3 linked regions of the Lepisosteus oculatus genome follow. The protein of the gene in region 2 purifies or fractionates together with the protein of the main gene of each other region. This does not show direct contact. Links are inferred from orthologs where the notes say so. Each region holds a gene or a part of one and is shown on either strand. Other genes may lie near its edges.

Region 1 (7,501 bases), on a different chromosome or scaffold from region 2:
TTATACTAGAAAACTTCTGAACATTTCGTTTTCAATGGCATCAAATCATTAATCGGTCAGCTGGATTTTGTATATTTGATATTGTTTCCATCAATGTTCTTTTGAAAGCCTGTCCACCTTTTCTGAGCAGGATTGCAATCATGAAAATCCAAGCTTGCAAGACACTATTTCTTCCTTGGATACAAACGTGGCCATCAAAATGAACTGCTGCCGCAGTTTACAGACATTTTGAATTCCGGATTGTATGAATACAAGCTTTATGCACTGTGCGTCACTTATAAATTAGTCCATTATAGCAGCTCTACATTTCGGCAATAGTATTGTCTAAAGAAAATGTGGATTTGGGGTGACTGGCATCAATCAGGATTAAGACCACTGGTCTGTGATAGGTATTGTCACTTCATTTTAAATTAAAGTTCATTTTGATTGGCTCTTGATTGCATGCAGAAACCATGCCTGTCACACACCCGATCCCTACTTTTAGCTTCTCATCAATAAACAAGGAAATTCAGCCAAATGAAATCTTGTGACCTGTACACCTGCTCTTTGCTCTTGAAGATGGTTTAGTATTTGTAGAACTGGATCTGTATTAGCAGTGCATTACGGTAATGACTTATTTTATTCGGATGGAAACAAGTCACTTGTGAGACGAACTGTCCCATGGTGAAAATTTTCCTTTTTTCTTTTTCCGTTCATCCTTGACCGCAAACTCCATTTCTGCCACTGTGTAATTACCAAGATCTTAAAAAGAGCCTAGCAGAAGCAGTTTCTAGAATTGCAGATGATGCAGAAAGAGTAGTGGGTTTGTAAAGGAGAACCATGTTGATCAGAGAATGAGGGAGTGACTGGAGGAGGGGGGTGTGGTTGTGGAAGGAAGGTTGTCACTGCCTGTGTGTTCTGTGGTGAGAGTTGCCTCTTCCTACAGGATGGTGTAAAAAGACAAATAGTTAAACTGCCTTGGGTGTAAAGAAAAAATGCCTACTTTACGTGATGAAGAACTTGGTGTCATGGGACCCCGAGTGTCAATTAAGCATGCATCAGTAAAGGATGTCTCTTGTTAACAGTGCCTTTTTAAACCAAAACATAATCTGGGGTGTTGGAAAGGGCTGTCCATGCTACTTAACACCAGTGTTACCTTAGTCAAAATCTGAGTGTCCTCAACATCAGGCCCAATTAAAAGCTCTTTCCAGTATATACTGTACCTACCTCTGTCATAATGCTCCCTTCTTTGAAATGATTTTTTTTGTGTGCTCTATATTTTAATGTGGCATCTAGATTTATATCCAATTCCACTGTAAGGAAGTATATTTTTCCCATTATTTGGTATCGGACTTTTAAGCCGAATCTTGTCTTTGTAAGTGACATCAAAATAGAAAATATGACAAAACTGGGCATGTTGGGCCCCTGTAGTGAAGAAAAATTAATAAACTCTTTATTCTCCAGTCTCTTTGCTTTGTCTTGTGCTGTTCCAAACCTGCTTCAGTATGTTACCCCCACTGTTTCTGAAAAATGTAACCCTGTCAACCATAAAACTGGGTAAATCTAAGGGACGTTACATTTAATTCATTATAGTATTTACAATTGCCAAGTCTCTTGACACTTTCAAAATATATTGTACTTGTAAGACAATTTATGTATAAATCACAGCCACATTAGCAGTCACCTAGAAGTTCAAATCCTTAATAAATACAATAATCCCTTGGGACTGACTGCTGAGAAAGTGTTTACACCAAAAGTTTTAATCAAATGCAGGATGGAAGCTACAAATTGGACATATAAAATGCATTGCTTTCATACTGGGGGACACGACCTAATCAAGCACACACTTGGGTGACGTGGTACCTATTCTGCACCAGCAGCCCCACTGCACATTAGATCAGGTAGACATGGAAAGTTGAATCCACTAAGCACAATTTAGAGATGACAATAGAATTTAGTACATTAGTTTAAACATCTACTTGCAAACAGTGGCATGGGATGTTTTCATGACTCAATAGTCAGGACCTCAGTTTCAGGTCTAAAGGACAAGCTCTTCCAGTCTCAAACATCTGTGATAGCGATTGGTAGACAAGGAAACGGGATGTGAATCTGACCACCTACAGCACTATAAAATAAGGTTGGGTGTTCTTGTGGTCCTTGTTAAAATCCAGCAAAGTGGACCTAACAGCTCTGAGTTACAAAGGTGGAACAGGTCACCAAAAAACCTTTGAATCTGTACGGAGACCCGCGACGGCATGTTGGTGAGCACCGATCTATAAAAAGATCGGTGTGTGAGCTGGAGAGTTAAATTGAATGATGTGGCACAAACCTATGATTTGCCAGAGAAAGAATGAAAGACAAAGACCCAGGCCGTAGGAGCGAGCGTTCTTGGGTGTAAAACCATTGGCCGCAGAAGGTCAGAGGTCTGGGTAGAGAAGCTGGAAGATTACAACCTTGTTGATTTATCTACATTACAAAACCATGCTTTAGCAGGAGTTTGGGTAAACAAGTTATGTAAGCCTCAGGAAGCTTGTGTTCTGTGGCTGTTGTGCGGAGGCAGTCATCTCTCCGAGAGACCCTGGGGGTGTGAGCCAGATCAACCACATCTACGGCAGCTGCGGCGAATACAGACGAAGATTTTCCACATCCCCATGAAGGAGTTACCTTCCTCATAGCTACTCTTGTCCTGCAGACTTCACTTGTCTAACTCGGCTCTCCTGTCTGTCCCCCAGGCCTGTCTACACTCTATGGGTGACGGGGCCTTCTCCTGCTCCGCCCCAGAGCTCTGGAACTCCATCCCTAAGGATATCAGAGTCACCTTGCTTGGGGGTCTTTTACATCTAGACTCAAGCCCTTCTTTTTAAAAAGGGTTTTGACTTAACTGGTGTCTGCCCCCTTGCTTTCCTACTGTATTCCATCCCCCCTTCCACTATCTCCTCTCCAACTGTATTGTTTTGTTGTTGGTTCTGTGAAGAACTTGTGGACGAGACACTTTTAAAAGTGTCTATATAAAAATAGTTTATTTGACTTGTATGCTCCAATCAGCGTGCTGCTGCTCTATGTAAGTGCTCTGTCAACGTCTCTTTCTCCCCATGCTCGCGGCTATTTCCTTCTTGCACTTTCCTGGAACTCAAAAAGAAAATCCCAACAAAGGTGAAATCCAGTGATGGCCTATTAGTTAAGTTTGCGGGAAACGTGTGGAGTTACAGCTATAGGCCACAGGACTGTGAAATGAGCACATTTAGCAAATGTGGAAAATGCATCTGAGACCATTGCTGTATGTGCAGCTAGCTGTAAAGACTGTTTCTAGGTGTTTCCATGAAAAACAAAATTTCTATTTTAATAATGAGACGTTCTCTAAACCTGCGTCGACGAACGTAGTTGCTAAGCGACCACTGTTTTTTTGCATTAAATAGCAAGTTATTTCCAAACATTCTACCTAAAGTTATTATTAGACCTAGATTCGATTACTTTGTTGAGCTGGTGCTTTAACGCAGGGCGGTTTGCTTTCCAAGCAGCCAATGAACTGGTCAAAAATGGAGTTTTCTGAGTGGTACAAACTAATTTAACGATCAGACTTTATTACAATCACAAGAAAAGCCATAGAAATATAATTACAATTGTAGAGTGTACTGTAAGTACGTTGTACATTAACTGAAGAAAAGTGAAAATAACAAAACTCGTTTCTGGGAAGATATTCAGACAGTGCTGTACCGTCTGAAAGTGGTGTTTGATGATCCGATAGCAGAGCCAACCTCGTGCTGGCGCTCAAATACTGTTGGTGGAACCCAGTCATTAAATACTGCGTTTTTTAATGCAATAAAATTGTTAAATCTGATTTAATGCTCAGCACAATTATTGGACGTACCGTATCGTGTTGCACTGTCTTGCAACAACCGAGTCTATTAAATCGTTTATCACAAATTCGGTAGTTTTGTTCAAGGGTATGAACGTCCATATAACCCCTTAAATTTATGAGCAATGGATGACGTGATCGTACACAGTGTATGCCACATTAACGAAAAAAGACCAGTCTTTGCATTTATATTGCCTTTAGACAGGATATCTTTAATACGAAATCTCCCTTTTAACGCTCCACACGGAGTAGCACAGTTTAGTAATACTCCGAGACATGTTTACCTGAAACAATATTAGGTAGTCCAAGATTAGTGGTATTAGAGGTCTGTGAAACCACTGCTTGTGATTGAGCAAAGAGCCATAAGACGGTTTTCCAGTAAAAGTATAGTCCCATTGCAGCTATACGGTCAGCTAAAGTCTCAAGTTCGGTATTTTCCTTCGGTGTTTTCCTTACATTTCAAGATCAAAATAAATCAAAATAAAAAAAGGCTTCGACGGTTGTGTATAACTTGAAAAATACGACATTTCCAAAGTTTACATCACGTTTAAGGATAGCGCCCCTTGACACACACACACCACAGTACTGCAGACGTCATCGGTCTTGGTGCAGCTTTGTGCGCATGACGTTGCGCTTCTCTGTGTAGTTGGGTATTTCGTCACGGGTTGGTGTGGGAGTTGGGAGCTCTCTCGAGCTGTGTGTGTTACTGTTTAATTTTCTGGTTCGGTTCGATTTCCGTTTACTTTCAAAGCCAGCGCGCCGCCGGGACGACACGCGTTGAGTACTGGAGAAAAACAGAGAAATAAAACTCGCCGGGGCCGGACTTTCCTGCGGTTTTTTCTTTCCCCACCTCCTTGTAAATCCGCCGGTGCTCTGAGGAGAAATGAGCGTGGAGGCGTACGGGCCGAGCTCACAGACTCTAACCTTCCTGGACACGGAGGAAGCCGAGCTGCTGGGAGCCGATACCCAGGGCTCGGAGTTCGAGTTTACCGACTTCACGCTGCCCAGCCAGACCCAAACGCAAGGACAGACCCAGAGTCAGCTGGACAACCAGGTTCGTGTGCCCGTCACACCATTACAGCTCACATTTTCGCCGAGCAGACCTCCGGCGTGCTGTTACAAAGCTACCCAGCTGAGGTAAAAGTGAAGTAGGCCCGCGTTACTTGCAGAGTCCGGGGACGTTTCCTGACTTGAGTAGCCGGCGTCGAGGAGCCGTTCCGTAGCCGCGGGCTCTCGGTTCGCTCGCTGGAGGTCTCCTTTTTTTTCCGATGGGGGAGAAACCGGTGAGCTGCCACCTTCCCGTCGGAGCACGAAAAACGCGGATTTGGCGAGAGTTTGGGTCGGGCCCGTAGTCTTTACCTGCTTCGTGTCCTCGGCGAGTGAAATTCCTCTGCCCTAGGTACTCGTGTCAGCCGGCAGCATCGCTGAAACTATTCCTACCGCAGCCCGGCAACATTTTTACGAGGAAAATTGAGCCCGAACTGACGTAGCGCGCAGTAAATTCAAAGAAATGGACCTTCACGCCGAAAAGTTGCGTGTGTCGGGTCTGTCTTTTTTGTATCAATGCCGTGTAGTCTAAGGGAGACCAACCCGGAAAAGAGGGGTTTTCGTCGGCGTGAAATCGCTCAGCATTTGTTGGGAGAAATCGCCACCTTGCCTTCACCCGGCCAGCGTGGCGAAGTTCTTAGTAGTTTTTTTTTTAAAGTTCGCCCTTTTTGCACCAAAAACGTGTCACTGAAACTTGCCGTGACGGGTTGATGTGAAACTGATAGTTTGGGAGGAGGTTACGCTAAGGGATAAAATGGTGCTGCACTTCACGGCCTGTCATTTCTACAGTTTTCTCCCCCCCCAGCAAGCGATTAATATCCGATATTAGCGGACAGGTTTGTGTCGTGTTGTGTGCGATCGCGCCCTTTTTATTTCTGTGAAGGTTGTGATGTCCCTTTTATTTCCTGTTGAATTGACCTGAAAGTGAATTCCCAGCAGCTATGACTGACAGAGTTAAGCTGTTTGAACTTGGGCTTTTCGGCAATTTGAATCTGGTTTGTTGGGTTGGCAGCCGTTAAAGAACACCAATTAATCGGGATAAAAAGCTGCTAAAAACTGAAGTATTTGCTGGGGCAGATTCGCCCGCTTTGTTATTAAACTTTCTTGTTTTCCTTGTTTCACATGGTGCCTTACTTGTCAGAATTGATCTTGGGAACAGATTTTATTAACTGATCTCAGATTGGGAGGACCGTACATCCTATATTTTTTTCTTCTAAAATTCCCTTTTTGCAACGTATTGAATGCAGTGTTTAATTTATTGCACTGTATTTTATTGATTGGACTAGTGATGTTAAGGGGATTGGGAGTGAACTTGTAATATATTTATAAAATGTGAGAAAACAGTACTAAAGGAGTATTTTACTTTATGTATGATTTCTGGTTAGGTTAGGGTTGGTCACCTGAAAGCCTTATAATTCTTTTTCATTTCGTAGTCTGTACTGCTTTTCCCAAAGTGTCGTCTTTATTGTCCATTTTTAAAGTCAGATTGCAAGAAACGCTGTTCTCCAACTTGTATGTCTTATAGGTGAATGGCCCTGATGGAGTTTTGCAGAATGGAGCTGTGGATGATGCTGTAGCAAAAACCAGCCAGCTGCTTGCTGAACTGAACTTTGAGGAAGATGAAGAGGACACCTATTACACCAAGGACCTCCCAGCCCACGCCTGCAGGTACAGGACACCAGGGGGATTTGGACTGGGCATGCTTTGCGGTTAATGCCTACTGGTGTCTGTGCAGTTGTTTGTTTTTTATTTGAATATCTTCGTTTCATTATTTTTGAAAAATGTTAAATATGCATGTTTTCTAAAATACTGTTTCTTTTGACTTCTTGTTGGGGATGGTGGTTATGTTGGGTGATTGTGTTGAATTGTAATGCAACACTTATTTCCCCTCGGGGATGAGAGAGTTTGAGAGCCTCTAGTACCGTTTTTCTTCAATACCTCCTACTGCTATGTTTGTTTTGTTGCTACTTGGTGTGTTTTGACAGCGCATGTTGCAGTAGGTGAGAAAACAAAATGTGCTTATCTTGTTAATTTCTATTTTCAAGCTACTGTGGAATTCATGATCCAGCATGTGTGGTCTACTGCAACACCAGTAAGAAATGGTTCTGTAATGGACGTGGGAATACCTCTGGCAGGTGTGTGCAACAGTTAGAAATGAAGTAGTACAGAAAAACAGCATTATTCCTGTTTCAGATTCCCTTTTCATGTTACATTTTAACCTAGTAATATTTTAATGTGAAGGATAAAGTTGGACTATTGTTGTAAATTGCTGAAGAAAGTTTTATTCTTTTGATATAACACAATATACATGTTTTATGGTAGCTGAAATGAAGATGTTCATTTAATTGTGTATAACAGCTGATTCTTGTAGATTGTTTTACTCAAAAATACTCATCAATTATGGTGAGAACAGGATTATAAGAAGATTAAATGTAACAGTGTTCAATTACACTACCAAGTCAGATTCTCTTCTTTTTGAAAGAAAGATATTAAGCTTGCATTTTGAATCTCTTATTCTATTGGTTTGTGTAGCAGTTTCCTGAAGTACAGTTGTTTCAGTAACAGCTGCTGTGCATCTTTTCTTTTTCAGCCACATTGTGAACCACCTTGTCAGGGCGA
Region 2 (7,080 bases):
GAGGTCCTTAGAGGTCGGTCTTTAAAAGACTCTTATTTTGGACGTTGTGTTGCAGGTATGTCCGTGAATGCTCAGTTTGAGTGACGTTCAATGTTTTGCTTTAGTCTTTTTATGATACAGAATGTCAGAATTTTGGACAAGACCGAAAACTCGTATAAATCAATTTAGGCTACTATATAGTATATAAAAGAAACTAATGTGGTTTAAGTCCCTCAGAGGCTAGTTTGTTAACTTAAAAATACATGTCCCGCGCGGTGCTTTTTGTAGAATATAATTTTGGATAATGTAATGCTGGTACTCTATACAATAAGACTAATATCTTATAGGTTTAAGAATATCCTTTTTTAAGAAACACTGTAAATCCATTTACAGCTAGAGACATATAATTAAATAAATTCATGGTCAGACTCCTGGCAGACGACATATAATGCAGACAAGCACGCAGTGTTACACACAGGTAACAGAAACATAAGCTATAAATATAAAATGGGAAATACAGTACAAGAACATACAGTAAGAAAAATGGGGCCATTCACCTGATTTGGTTTCTCAGTTGCCAATTCATCTTCCAGACAATATAGAGAAGGAAGGAGACGTACAATATTGTAAATAATATTGTGTACAATTTTGATCATTATACCTCATAAAAAAACAATTGCTGCTCTTAATTCAGCCCAAGGAAAGTCCTAGACTCACAGGTTAAAAACCCCCAAATCTCTTTCATCTTAAATGCAGAAGACTACAAGGTCTCTGAGGAGTTTAACTGAAGGGTTGAAAATTCCCAAGGCCATCGACAAAGTCCACTCTTCTTCAGAATCAATACTCCGATATGAACTGCAGTAGAGGACAACTGAAAACTAAGTGGAAATGCATTTAAAACTTAGAATAGGAGGCATGGGAGTTTGGAACAAGCTACTCAGTCGAGCTGTTGAAGCTCAAGAAACAGCTGAATGAATTCAATTAGCTACTATCAACTAAACAAGCAAGACAGATCAAATAGCCATCTATCATTTGTAACCTTTCTTGTTCTTATGTTCTATAAATATGTATTAATTTCTCTGTCTCCTAGCTTGATAAATTCAGTATTACCCCGGGAGCATCCTTGTTAGGGTGACACTGTGGATAAAAGCATTGTATCTGATTTCACATGGCATGATCATATTACTGTTGTTAACAGGAATATTCTAGAGCAGTGGTTCCTGTCCCTCGTCCTGGGGGAACCACTCCGTTGGTTTTCATTCCAGTTGAGCTCTCCATCACCAGTATTCACTGATGCCTTTAATCGATCTGATTGCTTGTTTGCTTTTGGGTTGTTCAGTTTATTTGTTTCTGCGCTCAGTCCTGAGATTCAGAAATACTCTACTGTAGGTGTATTGTTTCCAGCAACCTCTGAACACCAAACCTTGAGCGTCTCTCGAAAATTTTCCGTACCCTTATTTCTGACGTAACAGCTGCTAATATGTGGTTAATTTATAATCTGGTAAGTTAAAAACAATGAATGAGAGTAGTTCTGAAATTTAGAGGTTGGTTACAAAATCCCATTTCATCTTAATTATAGGTCAGAATTTGTGCTTTTATTTCTATCATTCTTAATAATATTCCAAAACCCGATGACAGTAGCCTTTTGCAAAGCTTCCAAAAACTGAAATCATACAACAAAACCAAAGGTATTTAATGCTGTACTCCAATTGTCCTCAATAGTAGGAAGTCATTAATGTTGATTTTTTAGTGCCAAGGACTGTAATTTAACTACAGCAGTGCGCTTTTACTTTGGTAATCATAGTCCTGTGTCATAGCTTGCTGTAAAAGAGGCCTAGAATTACTTTGTTACTATGTCTGGCTCAAAAGTGTCTTACACATTTAAAACCAAATATTAAGCAATAATATAAAGGTCCTGGTACATTATTTTATTGTCAATTACAATTTAAAGGCAAGTTATATTATGTATGTTGGAATAAAGATGTATAAATGTCCAGCAAAACATTTTTTCACGACAGCTCAATAAAACTAAAACTAAATCTGTGATAATGACAAATATGAAAATGTACAAAATCTATACAAAACCGTTATTTTAAAATCAGATGTAATATTACCCCAGATTCTGCTACTGTTCTGTTATTATGACCTCTAATCAATGAAAACAGACACCATTAAACTTAACAGTATAAAACAGGATATCTCAGCATAATTCTATAACCTAGCAACAATGTAATGTGTGAATATATAGTCTTTCATATTTTATCTGATACTAAGGGAATATCGGAACAGAATATTTCAATTCCAGATGATGCATATTTTACATTATATTATTTTGGAAAACAATTTAAAACTGAACTCTAGATTCAATATTGAAAAGGGCAACAAGTACCTGTACATATCAGAAGCACATATAGGACATGACTTAAAGAAAACGAAAGAAAAATGGATAAAAGGAAATGGTCATACTGTGGCTTCTACCATACAAACAGTATAAAGTGACCATATCTGTTGCTTACCAGTATACTAATTCTCTCCCTTTAGACAAGTATTTCACTTATACATAATTATATGTTACCCAGAGAATACACTGTATCACAAGTAATTTTAAAATATTATATTAAAGTTAGTAAGCACCACTTCCAATATGAGTCAGACTTCTTTCATGTTGTTTCAAGTTAACACTCTAAACACAGACAATACAAATGCGATATAACAAAAACTTGAAATAAAGTAATAGCAGACATATTGCTGACTTAACATTACTGTCAAGCCAAACATGCAGAACCACCTCTTATCGCATTTTTCTTTCTGTCTCCCCAACATGCAGCTCCTGTGGCATCTGTTTTCTACAGTCCGATACCATTTAAACCCCAGAAAACCAGCGTAGCCTTACCTCACCGACTTGGAAGCTCGACAAATAAAGCCATTCATCTTCTCTCGTTTTGGGACATCCGCACAACTTCAGCTATACGTTTGTCACGCATTTCGTAGTGTAACCACAAAGTGAAATGGCACTGCTGGGTGGAAGGTTTCAGGATATTGGATTACCTGTCTGCAGCAGATAATTGTTTCTCAGAGATAATCCTTGAATTATTAATCCTTCTAATGTTCTTGAGGGAAGCAAGGAGTGTCGCAACTGACCTATTTCAGCCTTCGGCCAGATAGAACATTTGTTCTCACTTCTGTTTAATTGGCTATTTTACTCATTTTATGTTTAGTGTTGTCAGATTTTTTTCCCTCTTCTGATTGTTTGGATGTCACACAGTTTATTTTAATGCTGTATGTGCAGCACTGCTCCAAGGGAGAATGCCCTAGGTATGTGGGGATTCTAAGAACTGTCTTGAACAGATTAAACCAATTTAACCGGTGCCATTACAGTCTGGAAAGGGGAGTCATGATTGGCAATTTAAGGTTGAGAAATCTGGTCTGTGTCTATTTTAAACCTCAAAGACGCACACTTTGTAGAGTAGCAAGCAAAAAAAGCCAGCCCCGCCTTCTACCATTCACAAAACAGGATAGTATCAACGCTAACTCCGCCTTACAAGCCTCGATAGGCTAATAGACAAATAATCTTATTAAAAATGTACAACGTGGGACTGGTTTAAACTGAGGCTTTTGTAAACGGGGACCTCTTGCGTTTTTTCTGTACTCTGTAATTGGATTTAGAGGCACTTTCATTCGAACCAGATAAAAGCATGTTCTGCATACGTCTGTATTAAATTTAGTTTGTGGCCACCATCAGGTTTTATATTTTACACGTGTGTGTATAAATCCAGCATTATAGATTGAAGACAGCAAAATGTAATAATTTTAAACAATTTAGATAACGGTAAAATATATAAACTTCTTTTAATGAAAATAAATAAATACATAAGAGTATAGTCCGCAATTATTTGGAGTTTGTGACGTTGATTAGCTTAGTTCTGGTTGAAATGAGTGTTTTCAGTGGTATTAGGATTTCGATTTTTACTCGGTCGGATACTCATCTCTGTGTGTTTCTATAATGTTCCTAAAATATCATGATTAGCCTGATGAGAAAGAAAAATAAAACAGTACTAAAATCTTAAATCGGCTTTTACGATTGAATAGTGACCTAATAATCTTTTCCCCTTCCCTTCGAAAGTGAACTAAGCGGAACGAAAAAGCCCTTTGTTACAGTAGGAACGTTTATTTCTAGGTCTGTTGTTGCCCTACGAGGAGGGAGTGTTCATAGAAATCCCTCCGTAGGATGCTCGTACTGGGGATTTAGAATCCAAGATGGAGGCTATCAGTAAAGTAGGACATGATATGAGTCTGGCAGCTTTAAAACAGAATGACCCTTATATTAATAGAATCATCGATGTAACCGGGCAGGTAGCACTCTATACCTTTAACTCCAAAGCAAACGAATGGGTAAGGTGTATTAAAATTTTTCGACATATAGTTTAGAAAGCGGCGAGTCTGAGGCTTGTTTCAGTGAAGTTTCTGTATGGAGCACATATTGAAACCAACTTTTATATTAAACTGACATCTCTCCCTTCAGCGGAAATGTTTTTTTAATGAACGGTTTCGAATAAAGAGATTCTGAATCTAAAAAAAAGGTGAATGAGTATCTTAAATGCTGATACGGATAGTCTTGTTAGTACATCTGGTGTTTGTAGATGGAATTCTTAAAATTGGCGTTGCATAATTTATGTTAATTTAGACTGAACCAACAGGTGAAAAGGAGTTTGAAGTAAGATTTTAAGATTGTTTTCTTTTTGTATTATATTCCAGGAGAAAACCGACATTGAGGGTACCTTATTTGTGTACGCCAGGTAACGTATTCGAAGTCGGATACGAGTATCTCTTATATCTATGATCTCCTCCCCTATCCCAGAAAAAAAAAAAACAATCAAGGTTCTGGTCACCAGTACACGTGTTTTGGTCAAGATTAGGCCTCAATATTTATGAATTTATTAAGAATCTTTTAAAATCTCAAACTATCTTATTAAAATATCTTATCAAAAAGCTGTCTCGTTCATAGTTTAATAGTCAAGAGTAGTTTGCGGTTTGGAAGTAATGGAAAAATTAACAATTCAGGTGTAAAGAGTAATAATTCTGGAAGGAGCTGTGAAGCACATAATACAATATATTCCCATCTGCAGAAAGAAACAGCTAGTATGAACACTTATTGAAACAGAGTAACGTATTTTGTATTCATTGCTTTAGATTCCAGAGCACTTAGGATTTACAGTTAGGCCACTGTTTTAAAATGTGTCCATCATGGATGTAAACCATATTGTCTTTTCCAGTATAATAATTAGTTTTTATCAGAAGCTACTGTTAAGACTGAAAATCTATAGGAGAGAAGAAGGTGTCAGTAACCAGTGCTGTAGACCAGTGAGTCAGAGACCACAGTTTTAAATTAAATCTGAAAGATAGGTCACAATTCACTTGGCACTGGATAGACATTTTGGCAATTTTAAGTCGTATTAGAACTATTTAACATTTTTAGAAGTATACATTTACAAGTCAAACCTTCAGATTTTAAGATTCACTTATGGCATAATGACTGCCAGTGTGATAAAAAATATCAATTTACACTGTTGAGAAATCTTAATCTCTCAATCTTTCACTGCAAAAACAGAATGCAACATGTAACTCGGTGAACGGTTGGCTTTGCATCATATACTCAGTCAAGACATGGAAGGTACAGCCCACTAACTCTGAATTATTAAAAATGTTACTTCTGTAGAACACTTACTCCACTTAGCGCTCTTTATATGCAGAATAAATGCACTGGTTTTAATGTTGCTGAGCTCAAGTTTTCCCAAATTGAATTTTTCGTTTGTGTGAGTTGCCAGGTTTTTAACAGGTGTTATTCCAGAATTTGAAAATGGTATTTTTTTTTAATTGTAGGTCAGCTTCTCCATATCATGGCTTTACGATAATGAACCGGCTGAACATGAAAAATCTTGTGGAGCCCATTAACAAAGACCTAGAGTTTCAGCTCCAGGACCCATTTCTTCTGTACAGAAATTCAAACTGTAAGTGCCCTCTTGTGCTGTTTCTAACTTTATCTCATACTAGGTCAAGAAGCAGTGGAGAGACCTGGGGGAGAGAGAGAGAGTCACAAATTTCTCTTTCTAGAATGTGAGTTGAAAAGGGAAAAAAAAATGCAGACAGATTTGTTGGAGAAGTTTTTGTAGTATAGAAGACTTTCTTTTTGGGAAAAGGGAAGGATTTGAAATGGACGTTCACGTGAATTAGCTGTAGACAGCACTGATGCGCCACAGGATTCTCGTTGGTGGCATTTGATCAAAAAGAGTTTTTAGGCTGCCGTCATTAACTTTATTGCTAGCTGGAATGAGCGGCCTTCTTCATGTAGTTCGTGGTACTTAGTTTCCAAATGATTTGCAAAGTTGGCTCCATGAGTAAGTTAGAAAGCGCCCCACAGTGTGCATTAGAACACATTAGCACTCTTATTAAGGATAATGCTAGCCCCTGGGAAATGTGGATTCACTTCCTTAGCACTTGAGCACAAGCTGTCTTAATGAAGTGCAGTGTTGTCTCCAGGGGCCAACTGCACAATACAGCAGAAATCCGTAGTTTCTGTAAATGTGCATCCTTCACTTGAGCAGCACCCGTCTGGTGATGTGTATCACTCGCCTGTTGGGTGCTCTCCTTGGTCTGTTTTTGCTGCCTGCCAAGTTGCATTTTCCTGGAGAAACTGCTTCTTCCTCAAGTATGTTCTGGACTAGAATAACTGTTGAACTTTTCATTCTGAAGACCGTGGGCATTGATAATACAAGTATAGCTGGAGGCAGCAGATGAAGAAAATGGGTGGGAGGGTCTCATAAAATTCATCATTGTGCTTTTCTCATAAATCACTGAGAGATTGGTGCACTTTTCAACATTAACATGAGTGAGTGGGGACGAATAGGAAGCCTTGGATCATCTGATTGCCTTGGTTATGTGCTGTGGATGGCCTGGTCAGTGTTGAGTTCGGTTCTATTTTGAAGCCAGGAGTTTGATAGTGAACATGCAGGTCCATATTTGAAGTTATGAATAGGGTGCACATGAAGAAGATGCCATCCAGCACAAAACTTGTCTTTTTGCTGTGGTTTATGTGTGAAATTG
Region 3 (7,054 bases), on a different chromosome or scaffold from region 2:
TAAAACAGCCCAAAACTTCGGGACTTCCTGTTGCAACGATTTCCTATTCCAGTGCTCCTCCGAGTCGTGTTTTCAGTGCCGATTCCCAGAGGGGTACGACGTTTTTTTTTTCTTCTGCTTCCGAATCTCCAGTCACGGCTCCGCCTGGACCTTCAGCAGAGTCTTCAGGTGAACGGTCATGAGCTCCCGGCTGGGGCCGCTGGCCCGGGGGCCCCTCTCCCCCACCCAATGGCTCGGGGGCTTGGGGAGCACGCTGGGGGAGGGCGGCTCGCTGAACTTGGCGCCGGCGTAGTTCTTCTCGCCATCCCTGAGGGGCTCTTCGGGGCCGGGCTCGGCCGCGCGGACTGCGGCCAGCTTGTGGAAAACGTCACCCGAGTGTAGCGGTTTCTTCCCCTCGCCGCCGCACAGCTCCAGAGGAGGAGACCTGAGGCGGGGGCCGTTCTCCTGCCCCCTCGCTGGGGAGACCTCGCCGAGCGTGCTGGGCCTGGCCCTCTGGCTGCTGCCATTCAGAGGCTGGGCTGGCTGCTCACATTTGTTCAGGTTGTACACAGAGTGGCCGCTGGTAAAGGGGGCTCTGTCGGCTCTTCCTGTTTTTGACTTCAATACCTAAGGGGAATAAATAAGAATAAATGCGCCTTTAGATCGCAACAACTTAAACCCGCGTTTAAGGACGGCTCCTTAGAAAAATGTTTCTCCCATCTCGCAGTACATCGGAGAAACGACCTCGCTGTTTGAACTCTTTGTGTTGTCACTTTCAGTGTCGGTTAAAGAGGTTTTGATGTTCCAGAGAGACAAGACTTTATTGATCCCGAAGGGAAATCGAGGCGTTACAGCAGGCCCAGCCCAAGACAAGCAAAAACAAGACATCAGAATAGACGGAAAATTAAAATACGTACAGTAATACACAATAAATATATAAGTGTTTGCAAAATATGCTCACTGTAAAACAAAACGTGCATAGGTATATTCAGATTGAGTGTCGAAAAAGCACAATAGTGCAACATGCTTTCCATGTTATCCGATACTTCAATCACAAACTACAAAGGAATCTGCGTTTTTTGTTTACAGTAGTGATTCTAGACGTTATGTAATTTCTACAATAGGTAACCGAAGAACATTCAGGGGTAATTTCCAACTTCATCCCGCTGCTGGGCAGGTCAAGCTTATATCGCAAGAAAAATAAATCCAGTAATGACGTTTAAACAACAAGGCGGTTATTAGGCTATGTCATCCGGTTTCGGGGTTATTATTATTACATAATAACCCGACCGCCTTGGCACAGCGCCATCAGAAAACTGTTGAGGATCCTTCATCAACCTCGGCTCAAACTGCACGTTCGCACCTGGCACAACCTAACCCACTACCGCCCGCCCCCGCAGGCTCGCGGCTCCTCATTACTTATTCATATTGCCGAGGACCGCCGCGCTGATTGGCTGATCTGAGAACCGCCGTCATATTTTCCAGCGGTGGGTCAACCAAACTCGTTTGATTTCCGCCGAATTGGAACAGCGGTAGCGGGCAGCTAACCCAGCGCACCACATAATGGGCAATGTATACAAAACAAACGCTGGGGACCCACAGCCCTTAATGAAGTGTCGTCACCTCAACGACCACAATATTTACGCATGGATGCGTTACTAAACTATTCTAAACAAATAAAACGTGAAATGTTCACTTCCGTTATTGGTATACATCAAGCGAATTACATCAGGTAGCAAAACAAGCTGTTGCCCCCCACCACCTTTGACACCGATGACACGGTTCCTGGGACCCTCTACAACAGTAATATCGCCACCCGTTGTTCTCGTCTTTATCACGCACCCGGTGATGTTTCACAAACGAGAACTATATCGACATCTTACCTCCTTTTTGGCCCCTTGCTTGAGGTGGTGGAGTGTAATTGCAGTAGCAGCCTGCGCTCGGTTGGCGACAGCCTCAGTCTTTTTGATGCCAGCCCCGGGGCTGCTGCTGCTGTTGTTGTTGATGTCTGTGAAGCGTGTGGTGCCATTTCGGAGCAGAGCCGGGTGTTTCTGGCCCTGCTGCTGCTGCTGGTGGTGGTGGTGGTGAAGGAGGTGGTAATGGTGTCGGTTCTGCAAGCCCGTGGAGGCTGAGCGCACTCGCCTCCCCCCTTTCTTCAGCAGCGCCTGCCTTTTGTTCAGGTTCGACCCGACGGGGGTGGGCTTGCTGTTCTCGATGTTATCGAGTTTAGACTCGATGTGGTGGCTGAGAGTTTCCCCGAGCATGATCTGAAAGTCGCACGAAGGAGGATACATCGGCTACCTGGAGCGGCAAAAAAAAAAACTTTCCTTTCAAAACAGCTCCGACTCCTTGTCAATGAGCCCATATACTTGCTCCGCACGGCCGTTTCCTCACTCTTTGTTGAGTCCAACCTGCTCGCTTGCTAAACAAGTCAAGTAAAGCTGTACCTGGAGCCTCGGCCTTTGTTTATCTTCCGATTCCGAAAATCTTTTCTTTCCGAAAAAATTGTTTTTTCTCTTGCCAAAAAGTCCCCTTTAAAGAGATGGCGCAGGATACAGAGTAAACGAAAATGGCGGAGCAGGAAGATTCACTTCCTTATTGTAAACAAAAAATCCGAGAACACGCCAACGACTCCGCGCAAAGAGAAACAAGATTAAAAAGCAAACGAGTGCTACTTTCGCCGATCTACCCTTTTGCGTGGATTTTAACATCTGTATTCTGAAACCTGAAAACTTAATGCGCTACGTTTCGTAAACAACGTCAAGACCACGACGCAAATTTGAGTTAGATGTGTTAGGTCGAGCTGCTCGGTGTCGATCAAGACGCTGCCCTTTGTCTAAAATGTTCTCAGAAATTCAAACTTTATGCTTTTCAAGGCCGTCTCCCACTATGTTGCTTAATGATTTTACCAACACAAACCCCGTCCGCACCTCCTCTATAAAAGCAACACAATGCAGGCTAAAACAAACACGGGAACGCCTCGAAGGTATTAACTACAACTGCTACGCCAATCGCCCGTTTCTATTCCTGCCACTGGGACCTCCTTTTTAAGAGACGTCATATACGCAACATCTCAATCTCATTTGCTCGTTGTACCAGGGACTTTCCGAAACTGGGAGTTTTGAGGAAGTTATTAAAACTTCGACCGGTTGCCTTACGTAGTGGAAACTGCTTAATGATGCAATGTACAGTAATTCAGCGTGACGCGCTGCAAAGGAATTCACAGTGTAAAGTCGGTCTTTATATACAAGTATGTAATGCATATATGTTTAATATTTTTCATATATATATATTATCAGCGATGTGAAGCCCTGTAATCTGGTCATTTGTAACCGACTTAATTAAAATTAAATTAAAATTCTATGAAAACGTGGATTGTTTCTGATGACTGTTCTTTGGTAACGCTCTATAAAACATTTATAAATCTCATTTTCATAATATGAAATACTGTACAGAAAATATTTAGCTCATTTAGTGTTGTAGCTTAACACTTATTGTGCATATACAATTTCTCACTCGCTAATACAGGCTAAATTGTATTAGCGAAACAACAAGTTCAGTTGTTTAGTGAGCTACAAAAACTACGGACATCCCTACGTTTATACAGTATATATATGGTATTCCTTATCAACTTTATCAATTCCTTCTTATTTAGGTCAATTGTATTGGAAAGTTTTATATGATGTAATTTACAGACTTTTACAGGAATATTTCAAGAGAATATTCCTGTAAATACTACTGCTAGTGATGCTTCATATTCTACTCCTAATACTCATAACCAGGGTAAGTGGTACAGTATTTTACCCTAAAACCTTTTGATTTAAATATAGCTTACAAGAGCAGGACTTGGCCACTGTTTGAGATGTAACCGTGCTGTACTGTAACCCAAGGATTATTTGAGTGCTGACATAGTATATATAAATAATTACTGTAATTTAAATATTTTGGTATAATTAAAAGACAATCAGAGTAATTCAGTCAAATAATTATTTAACTGATGTTGTTAACGAAAGCAACTTCCATGTGTATCATTTTATACAGCTCGGCTTTCTACCATAGAAGTATGAGCGAACAGCAGTGCTCCATCGAAAATGTGAACCCATAGTCTTTCAACTCAATTACACAGATCCAACTACTACAAAGTGAATTTGATGAGAAAAAATATTCAAACAATCTACATTAAATAGCCATACAAATTCTAGAATAAAGGAATTATTACAACATAGAGAATGAAGAGTAGAAGTGAGAGTCATTCCTGGAATTTCTTTGTGCAGTCATGTTTCATGCAGGAAGAAAGAAAGTTGCACTTAACTGTGGGTATTTCCCAATGTGCACTTAAATTGATCAAAAACTGTCCATAATCCTCTACTGTGAATTCACTTCATCCTCATGGAAAAGGATTTTCCAATAACAAAATGAAACCAACAGCTCTTGAATTGTATTTGTAATGGGTTTTTTTTCCATTTCCCTTCCTGTTCACACTGAACAATTGAACAATAGATTCACAAACCAAATAATTGTGTACAACTCATAGAAAAAAACACTAATTGGATTAGCCAGGGCATGGGGCAAAAGAGTTCAGCTATTCAGTTTTAATGCTCACATGCTGCATTCAAAAAGAATGTCCTGCAAAATACTTTGCATCCTCTCGTGTTTGTGTCCTGCGAAATTATTCACTTATTTTCCAATGATGTCCTATTTTACTGAAATGCAAGCGATGCACGCACTATTTCAATCAAAACTTTTAATGGGTGAAAGAAATGAAATGTATACAAAAACTGAAAGGAAAAACTATAATGTTTTTGGTTTTCACCCCTTTGCTATGTCAAACAGAAATTAGTTCAGCTGTACAAAAAATACTTTAACACGTTATGAAATTAGTTGCTTGGCCCCTGTTTACAATAATCTCATTCAGCTGGTTTCAGAATAAATACGCTTCAAAGTATTCAATTTCTTTAAAGCAGATATGGGTAGAACAAGAACTAGTGTATTTCTAAGCTTTCAGAAGGCATTTGATAAAATTCTACAGAAAAATAATTCTCAAATTGCAAGTGGTGGATAATCAAATTAAAGTATCTTTGAATTGAGAATTGGTTAATGCATATAAAACAGAAAGCAAAGGTGTGTTTAAAACTGGGGAGTTGTAGGTGGTGGTATACCACACAGGAGCTATATGAAAACCACTACTCTTATTAATTTATATAAAAAAATCTAGATTGTGGTAAAGTAAGTTAAGTTCAGAAGTTATACTAGAGCTGGAAGATTAACACAAATTAAGACTAAGAAATCACATGGTGAAGCAGAGAATAAAATAAGGGGAACTTATTCAGTAATCAAAATACTAGGGACTATTTCCAACTCAACAACACAAACCAGAGCACTCAGATGGAGCTGTGCAAGGGAGTATATTTTACTGAGAACAGGAGGCATTTCTTCACACAAAGCGTTGACTGCCTATGGGTAGTGGACAGCAAATGCAAACAATGTAAACACACATAATAGGGCATTGTGTGGCACATATGGACCACAGCACAGAGTCTGCGGGTATTTGGAATTCTGCAGGAGGGATGTGGCAACTCATCTCAACTATCAGACAACTCATGCCTGGTTAATGGATGTAGAAAGCAAGCAGGTACTCCAGAGTATCTCATAAACACCTCAGTGGGTTCAGGGCTGGTAACTGAGAAGGCCAGTCCAGTATCCATATGGATAACTGTCATGCGCAAACCACCGGGTGACCACAGGAGCTCTGTGGAGAGGAGCTGCATCATCCAGGAACAACCCTGATGGCAGGAGAGAAATGGGTTGAAGATGGTCACTCAAACCCATTAAGAAGCTATGGGCATTGACCGAGTGAATGTGGAATGAGTCTGCCCAAATACCAACAAATGAACCCCGCAATCCCACAGAACCATCAGTACCCTTCACAGCTGGGATCAGGCACTCTCAGCAATAGAGTTCAAGTCAGCACTCATCCATTTACTGAGAAAGCAGTGAAAGATGAATCATCTGATCACATGCCTCCATGATTATGCAGTGCACTCTTTACACCAGTGGACTTGCAAACATGCACTGTCAGGTGCAACAAGCAGTTTGTGCATTGCAGCCCGATGATGTCCTGCTCTGTGGAGCCATCACCAGCCCGTTTAATTAAAGTTTGATCTCCAGTTGCTCGACTGTTTTGCCCTGAGCTTCAAACAAATGCACAGATTTCACAATCCTGGAGTAGGGCCCTCCCGTTCCACTGTTCCACCCAGCTTTCCCGCAGAAGTTCATGTCGACATCACCTCCAACACAGTTACTCATGAAACCTCAGGAAATTGAGCCATCTTGGTCCCTGAAGCTCTTACCAAACACGTCCCAAGAAGCACCCGCTCTCTCAAAGTCACTGAGATCTCCTCTTTCAGCCATGCTAGTTCTGACCTGTCCAGAACTTTTATTCTTGACCCTAAACATGCTGGAATGTCATTCGCTGGATTAATGCATGAGCCACACCTGTGTAGAAGCTTTCAATCTGCTTGATGTTTCTCCTTTACCCAGATGTTTCCATTTTTTGCCAGGTGCCTGCAGCCAAAGCTGAAGTCTCCTCAGCTGCCCAGTAGACACTACCCTACAGGGTTCCAAGTGCTAGAGCCCACACATTCTGTCAGCTAGCACACAGAGAATAGTTTCAGAACATCACCAGCAACAATCGGCATCAATTACACCACTACTGAATATCAGGCACGCTCTTATGCAAATAGACCTTTCAGTTCTATTTCGTCATCCTCTTGTAGGGTACTACTTCCCTGCTACAATATTAGCTAATGTCGTAAAGCAGTGTGAATCCCAATGCCTCTTCAAGTTTAATGTAAACCGCTTTATGGAGTATCTTCAAGATCTAACTGCCCTTCAAATTAGGTTTTTGGACGATCCAAAGTGTTGCGTTATGCAGTAGTATTTGGATGTATGAAAGACCACAATTTGTGTGGTACACTGTTTTTCAGACAAATACTATATTAATAGATGTACAGTATATTGTAGTCCTTTTAAAGTGCTTGTGTGTGTTCAAAATGAGTGCATTTATTAGCATGGC

What was found. Proteins that work in one complex are often made in the same cells at the same time.
Region 1: the proteins of dcp1a (region 2) and upf1 purify together in Homo sapiens (co-immunoprecipitation; 4 studies listed by BioGRID and IntAct, with this or other methods). This does not show direct contact. The link is inferred for Lepisosteus oculatus from reciprocal best matches to the Homo sapiens genes DCP1A and UPF1.
Region 3: the proteins of dcp1a (region 2) and pnrc1 purify together in Homo sapiens (affinity purification with mass spectrometry; 3 studies listed by BioGRID and IntAct, with this or other methods). This does not show direct contact. The link is inferred for Lepisosteus oculatus from reciprocal best matches to the Homo sapiens genes DCP1A and PNRC1.

The regions. Positions count from the first base shown.
Region 1 is NC_090724.1:3,883,859-3,891,359, forward strand, and holds the start of upf1 (regulator of nonsense transcripts 1), read left to right. Parts: upstream 1-4,468; 5' UTR 4,469-4,718; coding exon 4,719-4,889; intron 4,890-6,407; coding exon 6,408-6,550; intron 6,551-6,927; coding exon 6,928-7,017; intron 7,018-7,472; coding exon 7,473-7,501. UniProt on the Homo sapiens protein: RNA-dependent helicase required for nonsense-mediated decay (NMD) of aberrant mRNAs containing premature stop codons and modulates the expression level of normal mRNAs.
Region 2 is NC_090699.1:63,508,462-63,515,541, reverse strand, and holds the start of dcp1a (mRNA-decapping enzyme 1A), read left to right. Parts: upstream 1-4,048; 5' UTR 4,049-4,236; coding exon 4,237-4,371; intron 4,372-4,734; coding exon 4,735-4,775; intron 4,776-5,859; coding exon 5,860-5,987; intron 5,988-7,080. UniProt on the Homo sapiens protein: Necessary for the degradation of mRNAs, both in normal mRNA turnover and in nonsense-mediated mRNA decay. Removes the 7-methyl guanine cap structure from mRNA molecules, yielding a 5'-phosphorylated mRNA fragment and 7m-GDP.
Region 3 is NC_090697.1:8,017,702-8,024,755, forward strand, and holds the start of pnrc1 (proline-rich nuclear receptor coactivator 1), read right to left. Parts: upstream 3,034-7,054; 5' UTR 2,274-3,033; coding exon 1,863-2,273; intron 607-1,862; coding exon 133-606; 3' UTR 1-132. UniProt on the Homo sapiens protein: Nuclear receptor coactivator. May play a role in signal transduction.